Rattus norvegicus: one gene and its partners. The protein of the gene in region 1 interacts with the protein of each later gene in a biochemical or structural test. Links are inferred from orthologs where the notes say so. Each region holds a gene or a part of one and is shown in the gene's direction. Other genes may lie near its edges.

Region 1 (4,185 bases):
TAGTAAACTGTCCAACTACATAAGCAGATAACCGAGGAATTAAGAATTTGGAGGGCAGGGCTAAAAGTGGGCAGACAGGTAACACACTAGGGCAGGCTCACCCAGGAGCTTGGCAACCCACTCAACTGGAACCAGATACCTGCTGCGCTTACCCACCTGAAACGCAGGAGCCCTTCTCGGCCATTGGTGGCCTCTTCCTCGGGGAAGAGCAGCAAAGGTGTGGGTGGAAGCCTCGTGGAAGCACAGAATTTCTTGAGTGACTCCACCAACTCCACCCGCCTATCCATCTCCATGAAGCCCCGAGACCAACATACAAAGCTGGGGGGACTATTGAGTAGAGGCTGAGAGCAGGGAGAAAAAGCAAAAAGAAAAGAATGGAAGGAAATGTCAAAAATAAAGAAAGAAGAGAAGAAAGAGTAAAAAGGTAACACATAGGGTGGCGTTTATGGGACTCGAGGGAGAAGGCTCGGTATTCCCCAAGCAAACCCCAATGGGTAAAGGTGAGCCTTGAGCTTGGGCCTAGGGAGCCACCCGGTGGCGCTCTCGGCCTCGCCCCCCACTCACGGTGCTACAGGTGGTGAGAAGGTTGACTATGTTGTGGTCAAAAGGTGTTACATGGTTGGAAATAAGGACCCTGACGCGGTGATCCCGGAGTCCGGAGTCCTCCTGTCGGGCCACGAGCCCCAGTACCGCACACATGGTTCGTACCACGAACCTGGGGACAGAGGCGGCGGTGACTGTGCGGTCTTGAGCCAGGCCCAGACCAGATGATCCCCAGGCGCCGCAGTCCGCACCTGCGGAGGACGCTGTCAGGAAGAGCACAGCTGACCAGGAAGACGTGGAGCCCGAGGAAGAGTCGCAGAACCAGGAGGCAGAGGCCGACCGGCGCGTAGAGCAATAGCGCGAGCAGCAGGAAGCCGTCACTCGGGAGCCTGTGGCGAGAGGCGACGCGATCAGGCGCCGAAGCCGACGGGACGCGCTGACCGGTCTCTTCCCTCCGCAGCGCTTACCGGTGCGAGTCAAAGAGCCGCTCCGGCCCCGGAGCTGGGGGAGGTTCCATCGCAGCCGCTTCAGGAAAGTGGGGCCGCTGTCGCCGCCATCTTCGCAGGGCCGCGGGGGCTCCTGGGAAGGCGGAGTCTTTGGGCAGCCGCAGGGACGCTAGAACCCGTGGCCCGGAGGCGCCCCGGAAGGGCTAGCGTTCCCAGCATGCCTCGCGGCACGGGGGAAGTGTATGTGTGTGTGTTTGTGTGGGGGCGTGTGTACGGTCTAGAGAGCGCGTCTTTGAAGGGACTACATTTCCCGGCATACACTGTAAGGATACCGGCATGCCTTGCTTCTCCTAGACGGCTTGCTGGGCTCCAGAAGACCGCCTCTGAGTAGGGCGGGCGTGGAGAGCCGAGGCGGAGCAGATGGCTGCGCTGAAGGCGGGGCGGGGTGCAAACTGGAGCCTTCGGGCATGGCGGGCTTTGGGGGGCATCTTCTGGAGGAAGGGCCCCCTGTTAGCCCCTGACCTCCGGGCTCTGCTGACGTCAGGAACTCCTGACCCTCAGGCCCGGATGACTTATGGGACCCCCAGTCTCCCGGCCCGGGTGCCTTTGGGGGTCCTTGCATCACGGGCAAATCTGACGTCTGGGACCCCGGATCTCTGGGTACGACTGACTGTGGGGACTCCAGGCTCTAGTGACCAGGAGGACTGCGGGAGCCCTGGAAGCCGTCGGCGCGAATGGCTAGCGGTGGCGTTGGGCGCAGGGGGTGCAGTGCTGCTGTTGTTGTGGGGTTGGGGGCGGGGTCCTTCCACGGTGCTGGCTGCTGTTCCTGCTCCGCCACCCACCTCTCCCCGGAGCCAGTACAATTTCATCGCAGACGTGGTGGAGAAGACAGCCCCTGCTGTGGTCTATATCGAGATCCTAGACCGGTAATGGTGAAGTTGACCAGGTGGTGTTGAAACCAAATGCCGGAAAGGCAAGGGAACAGGATAGGGTGGAAGCTGCAGTGTAATCGGTGCTTTCCCCATCCCAGGCACCCTTTCTCCGGCCGTGAAGTCCCCATCTCAAACGGTTCAGGATTCATAGTGGCTTCAGATGGGCTCATCGTAACCAACGCCCACGTGGTGGCTGATCGGCGCCGAGTGCGAGTGAGGCTACCTAGCGGAGACACTTATGAGGCCATGGTCACAGCTGTGGATCCTGTAGCAGACATTGCCACATTAAGGATTCAAACCAAGGTGGGAATGGAGTAGGCCAGATCTGATGGCAGCAGTTTACTTCCTTCCGTCTTAAAATGACCAGTTTTGGTGTACTCATTTCCCTTAAGGAGCCTCTTCCCACACTGCCCCTCGGCCGCTCCGCTGATGTCCGGCAAGGGGAGTTTGTTGTTGCCATGGGAAGTCCCTTCGCTCTGCAGAACACCATCACGTCCGGCATTGTCAGCTCTGCTCAGCGACCAGCCAGGGACCTGGGGCTCCCTCAGACCAACGTGGAATACATTCAGACCGATGCAGCTATTGACGTGCGTCCTGAGAGGAGGGAAATTAGGTGCTAGGTGGGAATTGGGGGCAACAGCTGTCAGGTATGATCACCAGCTGACACCAGCTGACACGTGGTGACTGGGCCTGTAGCAGAGGTTGGTCTGCAAAATGCAGCCACTCTAGTTCATGCTAGGAATGGAATTCGAAGTATTTCCCTAACCCTGTTTATGACCACAGTCTTAAAATTCCCAGAGGCATGGAATTCCAGATCTTTTTGATGTTTTCTTTCATTTTATCTCACAGTTTGGAAATTCTGGTGGTCCCCTGGTTAACCTGGTGAGTGCCCATGTTCTAAGAATGCATGCCCCACAGGTCAGTGTGGGAAGTGTGTGTTATCCTCTGATTCAGGGAGTTTTAGCTAAGTCTCTAGCCTCTTGTTCGTCTCCTCATAGTCAGACAGACCCCTGTCCCCAAATCCTTGCTACTCTTGTTCAGGTGCCCCCATCCTCTGCCATCTGTGTGGGCTAGGGGATGGGGCTGTGTCCCTGCAGGATGGGGAGGTGATTGGAGTGAACACCATGAAGGTGACAGCTGGAATCTCCTTTGCCATCCCTTCTGATCGCCTTAGGGAGTTCCTGCATCGCGGGGAGAAGAAAAGTGAGCCTGTCTTACAGGGAAAGGGATTCCTTTAAAATGGAGGAGGGGACCCAAGGGAGGGGCATTCATCAGGACTTGGTGTAGAGGGGTCTAACTGGTAGGAAGTAAGGGAAAGAATGAAGCTGGTGGGCTCATGTTCTCTTTACAGATTCCTGGTTTGGAATCAGTGGGTCCCAACGCCGCTACATTGGAGTGATGATGCTGACTCTGACCCCCAGGTATACATATATATAGGACCCATGTTCTCAGTGGTGCACCTCTTGGCTTTTGCTCCTATGTTTGTCTTTAATATTAGCTGTTGTCTCTGTCACAGAGCTGCTCCCTCTCATCATAACTTTCTCACCTATGCATCTCGTACCCTTCAGTAGACTGAGTACATCCTGTTATTACCATAATGTAAAGCCTCCATTGCCCTAGCATTGAGGAACGATCTCTCCCACCTCTAGTTATCCTTCTAGACAGCTCATCATTTCCTCAGAGTGACTTTGACTTTCCACTTCTATGTCTCAACTTTATTTCATACAGTTGTAGGGCCCACCCTTCTAGGCTTAGCTTAAGTTCTACCCCTTCCTTACCGTAGAATTTCAGAGTGACAGAAGTGAAGTTGATTCAACACTGTGTATCTTTTGAAATTAGCTGTCTTTTTTTTTTTTTTTTTTTTTTGGTTCTTTTTTTTTTTTTCGGAGCTGGGGACCGAACCCAGGGCCTTGCGCTTCCTAGGTAAGCGCTCTACCACTGAGCTAAATCCCCAGCCCCAGTTAGCTGTCTTTTATGTGTGTATCCTACTTCCTAAGCTCTAGAAGGCAGAAAGTGAACTGTCAAGATGGGAGAGGGCCTGTGTGTTGCTAACAGAGTGGTCTGTACCCTTCCAGCATCCTTGCTGAGCTACAGCTCCGAGAGCCAAGTTTCCCTGATGTTCAGCATGGTGTCCTCATTCATAAAGTTATCCTGGGCTCCCCTGCACACAGGTGATGTGGCGCCTGCTCGGTGGGGTGGGTTGGGTGGGGTGGGGTGGTGTGGATGTATCCTTGAACTCAGCTGTCCACTCCTTCCTTGCCCTG
Region 2 (3,500 bases), on another chromosome or scaffold:
CACACCATGTGTTGTACCTGAGGAAGCCATAAAAGGGCATGATTTGGTATTAAAATTACAGGCAGTTATAAGCTGCCCAGTATGAATTCTGGGAACTGAACTCTGGTCTTCTAGGAGAGCAACAGGTGTTCTTAACTGCTAAACCATCTCTTTAGTAACCCTTTAGCGGATAATACTTAAGATTACAAAAATAAGGACAGGGATATACATGGGTTTTACTTTTTCTGGCTAGCATAAACAAGCCCCTGGATTCAATCTCTGATAAGACAAAAAAATTTAATAATATGTCTGAATTGACATATAGGACAGTGGCAATCATAGCATTAGTAAACTGAGAAGAACCTTGGACTGTGATGGGAGTCTAGAACTGACATGATGGTTCTACCATTAGTTTCTAGTTGAGTTTGTATTTGTTTCCCTCCGGGGAGTCATTTGATCTCATTGGCCCTTGGCTTCTTGTTTGTAAAGGGGCGATGATTAGATAGTCTTGCCTTCCTTCCATTCTGTTGGCTGGGCTCTTATGGATAGGCATGTTTCGAATTAGAATAAAGCCAATTTGTTTTATGTTTATTAACTTTTCAAATTGAGATAATTGCTTTTTGCTAAAGTGAAATCTTACCATTCATGTTTCTATTTTAGGTAAGAACTGCTGAAAAAACACCATCAGTAACTAAAAAAATCGGTAAATATGTTTATTAAAAATCTGTTTAGTTTTGTGGCCAGTTTATTATAGTTTGTTTAATGAGGCTGCTATAAATTTAAGAATTTAATTAAGTGCTTATAATTTTATACCAGACATTTTTGTAGTGAGTACATTAATAGAAAGCCAGGTGCTAGAGCGCTTGCCTAGGAAGCGCAAGGCCCTGGGTTCGGTCCCCAGCTCCGAAAAAAAGAACCAAAAAAAGAAGAAAAAAAAAAAAAAAAAAAAAAAAAAAAGAAAGCCAGGTGCTATGGTGCAAATCTATAATCCGAGCACTGAGGATGTTGAAGCAGGAGAATCCGGAACCTGTGGTCAGTCTGGGTTGCATGGCATGGTTTTAAGAAAGGAAGGAACGGAGGGAGGAAAATGTATTAAAGCAACAAAGGTATTAAAAGTTTAGATTTTAATTTTTCATTCATTTATTTATTTTATATGTATGGGTGTTTAGCCTTCATATATGTGTGCCTAGTTGCCCCAGAAGCCAGGAGAGGTATCAGATCCCCTGGAACTGAAGTTAAAGGTGGTTGTGAGCCACCATGTGAGTGCTGGGAACTGAATTCAGGTCCTCTGGGAGAGCAAGTGTTCTTAGCCTCTGAGCCATCTCAGTAGTCTATCTACTGTGTAGGCCGGACTGGCCTGGACCTCTCTCTTTCTGCCTCAGTCTCTTAAGTGCTGGGATTGAGGGAGTGTACCCCCATATACAGCTAAAGCTGATAGTGTGCTGGCAGCCGAGCCCAGTGAATGCCAAGTACTCTGAGCTGCAGCCTCAGTAGTGTTCCTACAGTTCCCTTGAAGAAACAAAGAGGTGATGTGATCTGCCTACTGCCGTGTTATCATTTTGTTTTGTTTCGTTTTGTTTTGTTTTTAGAGATAGGGTTTCTCTGTGTACTCTGGCTATAATGAATTTGCTTTATACACCAGGCTAGCCTCAAACTCACAGAGATCTGCCTGCCTCTGTCTCCCAATTAAAGGTATATACTATTATAAATTAGTAATAGAACTAGCATTATAAACAAGGTCTTCTAAATCACATAGCATATTGTAGATGTAATTTTTAGTGGGGTTATGTATGGTGTTTTGGTGGTAGTGGTGTGGAACAAAGTGTTTCATTGTATCTCAACTGTCCTAGAACTCACTTTGAAGATCAGGCTGGTCTCAAATTCCCAAATACCTTCCTGCCTCTGCCTTCAGAGTGTTAAAATTAAAGGTGTACACCATAACACCTGACACTGGAGTTCTTTTGGAGTTTCGATTTATTTGTCTTTTGTGGGGTTTGTTGATTGTTTTTAAGATCTGCTTTTTCAATTGAAGTGGTATGTTTCAAAGAAAGCTTAATTTAGAGTATCTGATGAGTCCCTGTTCCCTAATGTTGTAACATCATCTGTTTTGTGTGTCAAGGATTAGAAAGCAGGAGAATACTACAGGTATTTATAAATATGCTCGAAATGCGGGGCTATGTTGAATTATTTGGAATGGATTTGGTAACAGGCATAAATAACAAAGTTAAAGAAAGAATTTTCCCTAGCATACTTTTTGTGGTTTCTCAAGACAGGGTTTCCTGGATGTATTTGAACTTTCTCTGTAGACCAGGCAAGGCTAGAACTCAAAGATCTGCCTGTCCCTGCCTCCTGAGTGCTGGGAATAATGGCGTGCACCACCGCTTTTCTTCTTAACTTTGGGGATCAAAACCACAACACCACATATAGTAGGCAAACACTACCACTGAACTCTTCAGCTATCTTAAGTCCCTTAACTGTTTTACTGTTCAGTCATGTTAATGAAAATACTTGTATTATGTTCTTTCTCCACCCAACTTTGATTTCAGATGATACCATCTTCCAGAATCCTATGGTGCAAGAAGCTATACGAATGGGATTCAACTTCAAGGACATCAAGAAAACAATGGAAGAAAAGCTCCAAACATCTGGGAGCAACTATCTATCACTTGAGGTTCTGATTGCAGATCTTGTGAGTGCTCAGAAAGATAATTCGCAGGATGAGTCAAGTCAGACTTCATTGCAGAAAGGTATACATTGCTTGTTTCTGTCGGGAAAATCACCTTGCAGCCCATTCATTTCCTCTCTAATATCCCCATGGCATTAACACTTTGACTCTTTTATTATGGTAAACTTGAAACACAAACAGAAGTGGAAAGAAGAATGGGTTCGCTTCAATAATAAGCAACTTTTTTGTCATCTTAAGTCCCATCTTCTCTCTTTTTGGCCATAGTAAATGTCTATTTTGACATATATTCAACATAGAAGGGTATTTGTACATGTGCCCTTAATGCTGCTTCCTCAGGCTACTATAAGAAAATTCCACAGAACTGGGAAAGTCCAAAAGTAGATCCCCTGCAGATAGTTGACTTCCCAAAGTAGTGTGTATTTCATGCTAAAAATTCCCCCAAGAGTTCTCATGCTTATGACTTGATCAAACCTAATTGTATTCATGCATTGCTTAACAATGAATATATGTGTTGAGACATGGGTTGTTACATAATCTCATCATTGAATGAACGTCATCACTTATACTTACACAAACATAGATGGCATGTGTCCCAACCACTTGTTGTGGCCTCTTATCAAGTTTTATTAACTATATGTTATGCTTTCATATAACTAGCAGCTTAGGAGGTTGATTCATACCAACATCCTCACAAACCCGTGATGCATTATGCTATGACATTAGAAACAATACATGTTCTCTGGTACCAAAGCATTGTCCACTAACACTTGACTCTTTCCCAAAGCCTTTCCTCTGAGCATCATTGTGGAAGGTTAAGCTTGCAGCATGTGAGCGT
Region 3 (2,369 bases), on another chromosome or scaffold:
ATGACAGGCTTACTCTATAGTTAGTAGGCTGGTTTGGAGAAGGACATACTTGGCTATTAAAGTTGTCATTTATGTAAATAAGACTCAACAGGATAGGATTTAGTCCTAAATTTTCCTGAGAGTATCACATAGGTGTCTTTACTTCGAAAGCTTAGCATTTGTTTATTATTTTCTCTTAGCAATGCTGCAAATGCCTCAGAGGAAGTATTCATTTTTCATGGTTCATTTGAAGCTTAGCATATTAGCTAGTAAACTCGGAGTGATTACTACAGTATATTGTCATTAGTCTGTATTTTCAGCTATGTTTGTGTGTTTTGTTTTAGGAATGGAATTTAAAGATCTTATGTAGAGAAAGAACCACGGTTGAAGAGGGAGTTAGCATTCTTTGGATATCTCTTTGTATACCATGCTCATTTATTTTTCTGTCTTGACTGTGCTCACTATTCTTATATAAAAGAGGTTTATACAATATGTTTTAAATAATTTAAATATAAGTTTCATCAATTTTTCCCATTCATAACCTGCCACAATAACTTACTAAATTTCTTAATTTTCAATGTGAATTGAAAAATATTGCCCATTCACTAAAACTAAATGACATGGTTTTTTTTCTTTCTTTCTTGAAGGAATCCGTTGAACATATCAATGAGGTATTTTATTTCCCATTACATTTTATTTCCACACTTTGTTTTTGAAGATGAAAGGTTTGAGATTTTCACGTATTGTTTATTTCTGGCAGAAACTTCAGAAGGTGAAACTCATGGGACAGGTGCAGTCCGAGGTAAACTGTCCATCAAGAATTCTTGTCTAGAAAGTGCGTGTGGCCATCAATACCTTTTCTCCATCATGACTGCAGTTACTAGTGGTGTTATCTGCTCTTGATAATGAACACAAGCCTTTGCCAATGTGGCACTGAACTGACCACCTGCCAAATGGAGACTCTTGCTGATTAGTCTCTTTGTAGTATAGGTACTTCACTCCTAGGCCCAAAACGTTCTTAAGAATTTCTCATACATGTAGTTAACTGACTTTCAGTAGAGTCAATGGTTTTTATGCAGATTTTGCTTCATGATAGCATTTATATTTTTTGTTTATCTGGTCTTAAGGGTATTTTTAGTCCAAAAAAAGATCAGTGAGATATGTGTAGCAACTGAATGCTACACTGCTTAGTCTGGGACATAAAGTAACAGAGCAAGCCTTCAAATGAATGGTTATCCAAATAGCATCACATTCCATTAACATACCACACTTTTAGTCATATACCCAATGGGGTATAATGGAATCAAATAGTTTAACTCATTTTTTTCCCAAGTAAATTGCTTGCTGCTCACACCATATTCTTTTAGATCAAAATAAAAATTTAAAAAGTGATATCCCACTAAACCTTTTAAAATTAATTTCCCTTCAATTATAAAAAACAGTTTGTTCTATTATCATCCCACAGGGTTTGAGAAATCACTACCCTCTCATATCAAAATGAATAGCTACAGATGTAGAAGTGGCTTGGGATAAAGTGAAAAGATTTTGAGAAATCCTGAACATCAGTTTTATTTTGGACTATTTAATTCATCCATGAGTAGAATAGATTAGGAGAAAACCCTTAAGAACACTTTACTCATTTTCTTCATGTGACCCTAGACAATGCTTTCTTATGTTGTGTATCTTAAAATGAAAAGCCTTACTGTGTACTCCAGGATTGCCTAGAATTTACTTTTTATCTCAGGTTGGTCTCAAAGTATTAGCAATTCTCCTGCATCAGGCTTCAACTTGCTAGATTTAGAGCCATTAGACACTGTATTCATCTAGGCCAAGTAGATTTTTAAGCAAATGAAGATTTTTGAGGTTGTTCATTCTGTTGCTTATTATTGGGTAAAAGATTATTAATTAATCAAGAATGTCGACTTTGCTAAATTGTGGACTAAAGGTTCTTTTGTTTCTAGGATGTGCTCCAGAATAAATTTCACTCCGGCATTCAGTCAGAACCCCAGGCCATTCCATATGCCCAGACCATCTCTTGCAGTCCCATTCCACAAAACATCCAGCCTATTGCTCAACCCCCTGTGGTGCCAACTGTTGGGCCTATCATTTCTCCTGAACTGGAATCCTTCCTTAAAGCTAAAGCCACTGTCCTTCCCAAGCACAAACAGATGCCCTTCCTTAACTCTGAAACCGTGCTCCGCCTCTTTAACTCTCAAATCCCCAGTCTTGATCTTGCTAATCTGCACCTTCCTCAGTCTCCAGCCCAGCTCCAGGCACAAATTGTGCAGGCTTTTCCTCAGACTCCCGCGGTGGTTTCTTCTCAGCCCCAGCTGTCTCTTCCTCAGTCCAAAAGTCAGTACCTTGTGCAGCAACTAGCACCCCTCTTCCAA
Region 4 (3,500 bases), on another chromosome or scaffold:
ATATGCTACCAATATCCAACAGGTTCTAGATTTTATACATTATTTTACAACATACACAAGTCAGATAGAAATATCTGAGTTACCTCTTGATACATATAGAAAGCATTGTCATTTGGTTGAGAATCTGATGTTTATTCCTTACATACACGTTGTTAGAAAGTGTTAAAATCACTGGGCATGGTGACTCCCACGTTTAATCTCAGCACTCAGGAGGCGGAGGCCAGCAGTCTGCATTGTTAGTTCCCACATCTATACAGCAAAGCACATGCCCCCCCCCCCCACACACACACACAAAGAAAAAAGCTAAAAACAGAAGTAAAAAGAAATGTCAGAACCATTGCTTTACCGTTACTTTCCTCTTCTAATATTTGAGGAAAATGTGCTGAAATGCTGGGTGTGTGGAGGAGACGGGGCTCGCTGTGCTCCCGGGTAGGACTATCACCATCATGGTGTTGTCTTATGCTCAGAACGCCAAGCTTTGACTCCTCCCTTGTTTGACATCTACTGCTCAAAGTGTGAGAAGATTACGCTTCTTCTCAAATCTCACTTTATAGTTCAGTACACTGTTTTCTTACTATAAATAATTATGTTAAATGAGAAATACCCCAAATTCTCTTATTCATATTGTTCTTAGAATTTCTTACTTAAGTCTGTCTATTTTTCTTAGTTTATTTTTCCTTTTTCCTCTTCACTTTCACTAATAGCTGACTTAAACTTTCATGGTGTTGGAAGCTTTGCTGACTTCTGTAGCCTCCATTACTGTGTAGGCAAGTAAGATTTTAAGAGAAAGAGTTCTGTACTAAGTCTGGCATGCTACCACTCTGAAAAAACATTGCATGCAAATGCACATCCTAACAGAAGCATGAGGTTGCTGTATTGAAATTAGTCTTGCATTTCTAAAATTAGACTCTACTTTTCTAAGTCTTGTCCTTTTCAACGTTAGTAAATTCTTCCTGAGCTAAGAACCCCTACAGGCCATCTAAGTCCACTGCTTACAACTGACCTTTGTGTTCATCCATTGTGATAGTGCCCTTATTCACAAGAACTTTAAAAACTACTTCAGAATATCTAAAGGATAAGCACGTTATCCCTTTTGTACTTTGTTAGAGGTGGACTGGGTCTCACCTTTATGCTGATATCCTAAGAAAGAAAAAGAAGATTACCATGACTTTTATTTATTTTTTTAGCTCAGAGAACATGTAGAGTTCAGAGGACAACATGAAGGAGTTGGTTGCTTCTGCCCACCATGTGGTCCTAGATTAACGGAGAGAGTCAGACTTGGCCAGAGGTGCCTTTACCAGCTGAGGCCACCCTTCCTCCCTCCCTCCCTCCTTCCTCCCTCCCTCCTTCCTCCCTCCTTCCTTCCTGTTTTAAAGAATGATTGAACCTAGAGTGAAAGAATTCTTTCTGTGAAAGAAAATCAAGGGGAAAATATTTGAGGCCTAGCCATTCTACAAAAAAAGATTTAGTGAAGGTGTCTGACCCTGTAGTCTGGAGATGTGCATGACGAGAACTGAGAATGTGTGTTCACAGACACTGGTTTTATTGTGCATTCGAAGCTATTCCTTGAGTGCTTTAGAGAGGAGTAGAAGCCTGACTGTTGATGTCCTCTTGTTGCTCCCCACAGCTGGATTTGCATATATACTCACTTTGTGTATTGTTTACTATCTCTTAAGCTTGACTTGATCATTAATTTTTCTCTGAAATACAGTCTAGAATTCTAACATGCTTTATTAAAAATTATGCATTTAACTTTCAAAAATATGCCTGAATTATTTTTTAAGCCGTGTCTTACTATTTAATACAATTCCTTATTTAACCTCTAGTTTATTTACCTAGGTTGGATTATCTCAAGATGCCCAGGATCAAATGAGAAAGATGCTTTGCCAGAAAGAGTCTAACTATATTCGTCTTAAAAGGGCTAAAATGGACAAGTCTATGTTTGTAAAGATAAAGACATTAGGAATAGGAGCATTTGGTGAAGTCTGTCTAGCAAGAAAAGTCGATACGAAAGCTTTGTATGCAACAAAAACTCTACGAAAGAAAGACGTTCTGCTCCGAAATCAGGTGGCTCATGTGAAAGCTGAGCGAGATATCCTAGCAGAAGCTGACAACGAGTGGGTGGTCCGCTTGTACTACTCATTCCAGGACAAGGACAACTTGTACTTTGTGATGGACTACATTCCTGGGGGTGATATGATGAGCCTGTTAATTAGAATGGGCATCTTTCCCGAAAACCTGGCACGATTCTACATAGCAGAACTTACCTGTGCAGTTGAAAGTGTTCATAAAATGGGTTTTATTCATAGAGACATTAAACCTGATAACATTTTGATTGACCGAGATGGACATATTAAATTGACTGACTTTGGCTTGTGCACTGGCTTCAGATGGACACATGACTCCAAGTACTACCAGAGTGGTAAGTGAGCTTGTAAGTTCCATTGAACTCACCATAGTGTAGTCCGTTTATGCAGCACGACTTACAATGGCTTCAACGCTGATGAGACCAGTAGACATATAGACTGGTTCTTACTTTCTTAATAAATCTGGATGAATCTCATGAGCATATACATTTATAAAGTTAAAAAGTACATAAAGTTTATTTCTAAATATTATTTAAAAATTTTAAGGGGCTGGAGAGATGGCTCAGTGGTTAAGAGCGCCGACTGCTCTTCCAGAGGTCCTGAGTTCAAATCCCAGCAACCACATGGTGGCTCACAACCATCTGTAATGGGATCTGGTATGTCTGAAGACAGCTACAGTGTACTCGTATACAGAAAATAAATAAATTTTAAAAAAAATTTAAGTAACTAATACAAAATTTTGTAACTTTTGAAATGTGCCAGTTTTTAAAATAATTTTTGAATAAAGTCTCCCCGGAGACATCCATTATTTAGAACGTTGTACCCCATTCTTTACTTTTCTTATTTTGCTGCTGCTATTTCCGAGCCCCTGCCTGCTAGACAAGCATTCTACTCCCGAGCTGCAGCCTTACCATGTGTATTTCTTATTTTGAAACAATATCTCAGTAGGTTGCCCAGACTACAGTTGAACTTATACCCAGTATAAGCTTCAACTTGGGTTCCTTCAGCCTCAGGTTTCTAATAATTGGGATCATAGGCCTGTGCAACTAGGCCTGGACACCATATTGTATAGCTTTATATATTATATTTCTCACCAATATATTACTTCTTTTTTTCTATTTTTGAAACTATAATCATTATGTATTTTTGTTTCTTTTTTTGTTTACTTGTTTTGTTTTTGAGGTTTCTCTATGAAAGTGTGTGTTTTCAGTGCTATTTAGAGCATATAACCTGTTTAACTGTCATATAACCTTTTAACCCAACACATACATACACATGATTCTATTTAGTCATATGACACTGAAGCAGAATGAAGATGTGAGACTTAGGTGAAGTAACTCATCCAAGGTCAGACAAAGTTAAGTGTAAGGGCTAGGCTTTGAACTTAGGTTTGTCTGATTACAGGGCCCATGT
Region 5 (3,500 bases), on another chromosome or scaffold:
GTGGTCTATCCTCGGTGTCTAAGTTCCACCTCCCTGATACTTCTTTAGATCCTAGATTTTGGCCTTGCCAGGCAGGCGGACAGTGAGATGACAGGATATGTGGTAACCCGGTGGTATCGGGCACCAGAGGTCATCTTGAATTGGATGCGTTACACACAGACAGGTAAGAGGCTATTCAGAGACTCCAGTGCATGCCACCCACATTTACACATTCGTTTTATTTTTAAATTATTTTTGTAGTATTGGCGATGGAATCCAGTCTTATTCATGCTAGTCAAGTGCCCTGTCATTGAGCTACATCTCAGCCAGCCTGCCTGCCTTCCTTCCTTCCTTCCTTCCTTCCTTCCTTCCTTCCTTCCTTCCTTCCTTCTCTCTCTCCCCTCCTTTCTCCATTTTTATTATTTGTTGAGAAAAATGTGTGTGTACGTATATATATTCAGTTTGGTTGTTTTGAAGACAGGGTCTTACTATGTAGCTCTGGTTATTTTTGGAACTCACTATGTAGACTAGGCTGGCCTTGAACTCACAGAGATCCACTTGGCTCTGCTTCTTCTTGCTTGCTTGCTTGCTTGCTTGCTTGCTTGCTTTCTAGACCTTTTGTAGTCCTGGCTGGCTTGGAACTCACTAGGTAGACCAGGCTGGTCTTGAATCCACAGAGATCGACCTGCTTTTGTCTGTTACAACCTGGGGATTAAAGGCTGTATTACCATGTCCAACCCATTCTTATTTTTTTTTTCTTTTTTTCGGAGCTAGGGACCGAACCCAGGGCCTTGCGCATTCTTAATTTTTATAAGAACCTATTTCATTATTTTATGTGTGTAAGTACTTATGTGCACGTGTCCATCACCTGTGTACTTGGTGCCCACAGACACCAGAAGAAGGCACTGGGTTCTCTAGCACTGGAGTCACAGATGGCCGTGAGCTATCACGTAGGTGCTGAAAACCAAACCAAGGTCTTCTGGAATAGCATCCCTCGCTCTTAACTGATTAGCCACTTCTAGCTCCCTTCATTTCTTGATAGGGAGTCATTTGTAGGCCCTACCTCTGGGAGGTTAGTGAACTGGGGTGGAACTCTGTCACCCTCCTCAATGACAGTCTCTGCTCTGTGCCTATGTACACACCTGCCTCCCTGTCACGTATACTTGTCTCCTATGTGTGGTTTCTTGTGTGTCCCCTTTTCTTGGCCTTCATGAATGTGAATGTGACCCTTGTGTGTGGGGCACCGATGGACGTTTCTCAGTGGACATTTGGTCTGTTGGCTGCATCATGGCAGAGATGATTACTGGAAAGATCCTGTTCAAAGGCAATGACCGTATCCTTCGATGTAGAACATCATTTGACTTTGGCCATGATGTGGGTTCTGGGTGGGCCACCCTCTGCCCCTGCATTGTATTCCTGACCTTGATACAGACCTGGACCAGCTGAAGGAGATCATGAAAGTCACAGGGACACCCCCTCCTGAGTTTGTACAGAAGCTACAGAGTGCTGAGGTCAGTGGGGAGTGGGCAATGGGCTGGACTTGGACTTAGAGGCTGGCCTATCACCCTTTTTCCCTCACAGGCCAAGAACTACATGGAAGGCCTCCCTGAGTTGGAAAAGAAGGATTTTGCTTCTGTCCTGACCAATGCAAGCCCTCAGGGTAGGGCTGGATGGGTGAAGGTTTCAGGCAACTGGGTGAGTATGCCCTCTTTTGTGGCTGGGCCTGATTTGCTCTCCCCACAGCCGTGAATCTCCTGGAAAAGATGCTGGTGTTGGATGCGGAACAGCGGGTGACAGCAGCTGAGGCATTAGCCCACCCATACTTTGAGTCCCTTCGGGACACTGAGGATGAGCCCAAGGCCCAGAAATATGATGACTCCTTTGATGACGTAGACCGCACCCTTGAGGAATGGAAGCGTGAGTATGGGTGACACATAATGTCAGGCTTTGGACCCTGTGCGTCCTGTGTGGATGAGCCTCCGACCCTGGGTTGCAGGTTAGATAAGAAGTTGGGAGGTCAAAGGGCATTGTGGGGCAGTGCAACTCAACCAGGTTGACTTCTGGCTAGGGCAGAACGCAGTGGTGAAGAGTGTCCTTTTCAGGAGCTCTGACGAAGGCTGGCATGTGATGGGTCCCATGCCATCAGACGTGGTGCATCTGTGTGTGCTTCGCGCCCTTGGCTTGCTAATTCCCTGGCCTTTCTCTCCCCAACCCCTACACTGCCCAGTGTCCTCATGTCTAGACCACACTGAGGCCTTCTCTACCACCACCTGTCCTTAGGACTTTCTTCTCACACCTTTAAAATTTATCCTTTCCTCTCCTTAGTCCTTTTCAGAACCTCTCCTGAAACAACTATATCTTTCTTTTTTTTTTTTTTTTTTTGTTTCTTTTTTTCGGAGCTGGGGACCAAACCCAGGGCCTTGCGCTTCCTAAGCAAGCGCTCTGCCACTGAGCCAAATCCCCAACCCCAACTATATCTTTCTTATGTTCTGCCCATGGAAGACAGTATATTCCCACGCAGGCCCAAGGGCCCAACTTTTCCTTCTCACCTCCAGCCCCAGATCCCTCCACATCTATGTGCCGAACCTCCAGGTTCTGGGAAGAGCATCTTCTCTTTGAGAACTGGCCCCAGAGAAGCCTTCTCAGTTTGCCTACTGTTCCGTGGGCTGGAACTAGCCTCTGGTGTCTGCTCCAGACTGGCAGGTCCAACCTGCCAGTAGGGAGTAGGGAGGTCTGGGGACATGCTATCCCCATCCCTTGTCCTGTCTGCCTCAGACCCCAGGCCCTGTTCTTGCACCCTGGAGTGGGAAAGACTGGGTGGGTTGAGGTTCTCTCGTATCATGTTCTAAAAGCCCTGGCAGGTGTTCGTCCCTTAAGTGTTGTGTACTGATGAGCTTGGTTCTGTGTGACGAAACCCTTCTGCTGCTAAACAAAATGACTCCCTTAACCACGTACCACAAGATCCGTTCTGTGGTCTCCATCTACTCGCTGTGGCTGGATGCTGTTGCTTTCACCATAGACCACACAGACACACAACTGAGACCTCGAATAGCTCATAGCTCACACTTTCTTTTCTCGCTTCCTTTTTTTTTAAATACAGACCTACCTCTCTCTCTCTCTCTCTCTCTCTCTCTCTCTCTCTCTCTCTCTCAACACAAACCTTTTACTTTATTTTATTTATTTTTTTTCGGAGCTGGGGACCAAACCCAGGGCCTTGTGCTTGCTAGGCAAGCGCTCTACCACTGAGCTAAATCCCCAACCCCTTATTTTATTTTTTGAACATCAGCCTTCATCACTTGTTTGCCTGGGGAAATCTAGCTTCACAGCAGTCTTTAGTGTTTTTAGGTGGATTGGTCCATTTAGGATTAGATTAAAAAGCCCATGGGGGTGCTGGCTTCTCCCCTTGGTTGGAAGCTGTCTAACTGTATCATTTGCTTCTCTTCCTTTCCTGCAGGTGTTACGTATAAGGAAGTGCTCAGCTTCAAGCCTCCCAGGCAGCTAGGAGCCAGAGTTCCAAAGGA

What was found.
Region 2: the proteins of Htra2 (region 1) and Xiap form a complex in vitro, tested with the Homo sapiens proteins (10 studies listed by BioGRID and IntAct, with this or other methods). The link is inferred for Rattus norvegicus from reciprocal best matches to the Homo sapiens genes HTRA2 and XIAP.
Region 3: of the proteins of Htra2 (region 1) and Csn2, one has a biochemical effect on the other in vitro, tested with the Homo sapiens proteins (2 studies listed by BioGRID). The link is inferred for Rattus norvegicus from reciprocal best matches to the Homo sapiens genes HTRA2 and CSN2.
Region 4: the proteins of Htra2 (region 1) and Lats1 form a complex in vitro, tested with the Homo sapiens proteins (2 studies listed by BioGRID, with this or other methods). The link is inferred for Rattus norvegicus from reciprocal best matches to the Homo sapiens genes HTRA2 and LATS1.
Region 5: of the proteins of Htra2 (region 1) and Mapk12, one has a biochemical effect on the other in vitro, tested with the Homo sapiens proteins (2 studies listed by BioGRID and IntAct, with this or other methods). The link is inferred for Rattus norvegicus from reciprocal best matches to the Homo sapiens genes HTRA2 and MAPK12.

The regions. Positions count from the first base shown.
Region 1 is NC_086022.1:117,114,994-117,119,178, reverse strand, and holds the start of Htra2 (serine protease HTRA2, mitochondrial), read left to right. Parts: upstream 1-1,385; 5' UTR 1,386-1,409; coding exon 1,410-1,915; intron 1,916-2,019; coding exon 2,020-2,224; intron 2,225-2,313; coding exon 2,314-2,508; intron 2,509-2,770; coding exon 2,771-2,803; intron 2,804-2,962; exon of another isoform or gene 2,963-3,018; coding exon 3,019-3,124; intron 3,125-3,272; coding exon 3,273-3,342; intron 3,343-3,996; coding exon 3,997-4,092; exon of another isoform or gene 4,093-4,098; intron 4,099-4,185. Other genes in the region: lipid droplet-regulating VLDL assembly factor AUP1, read right to left, coding at 157-341, 565-715, 795-932, 1,011-1,060.
Region 2 is NC_086039.1:125,791,006-125,794,505, forward strand, and holds part of Xiap (E3 ubiquitin-protein ligase XIAP), read left to right. Parts: intron 1-639; coding exon 640-682; intron 683-2,525; coding exon 2,526-2,726; intron 2,727-3,500.
Region 3 is NC_086032.1:20,604,824-20,607,192, forward strand, and holds part of Csn2 (beta-casein precursor), read left to right. Parts: intron 1-626; coding exon 627-650; intron 651-739; coding exon 740-781; intron 782-1,940; coding exon 1,941-2,369. UniProt on the Homo sapiens protein: Important role in determination of the surface properties of the casein micelles.
Region 4 is NC_086019.1:4,001,301-4,004,800, forward strand, and holds part of Lats1 (serine/threonine-protein kinase LATS1), read left to right. Parts: intron 1-704; coding exon of another isoform or gene 705-713; exon of another isoform or gene 714-767; intron 768-1,839; coding exon 1,840-2,422; intron 2,423-3,500. UniProt on the Homo sapiens protein: Negative regulator of YAP1 in the Hippo signaling pathway that plays a pivotal role in organ size control and tumor suppression by restricting proliferation and promoting apoptosis.
Region 5 is NC_086025.1:122,086,308-122,089,807, reverse strand, and holds part of Mapk12 (mitogen-activated protein kinase 12), read left to right. Parts: intron 1-48; coding exon 49-163; intron 164-1,240; coding exon 1,241-1,312; intron 1,313-1,410; coding exon 1,411-1,490; intron 1,491-1,560; coding exon 1,561-1,639; intron 1,640-1,722; coding exon 1,723-1,896; intron 1,897-3,433; coding exon 3,434-3,500. UniProt on the Homo sapiens protein: Serine/threonine kinase which acts as an essential component of the MAP kinase signal transduction pathway.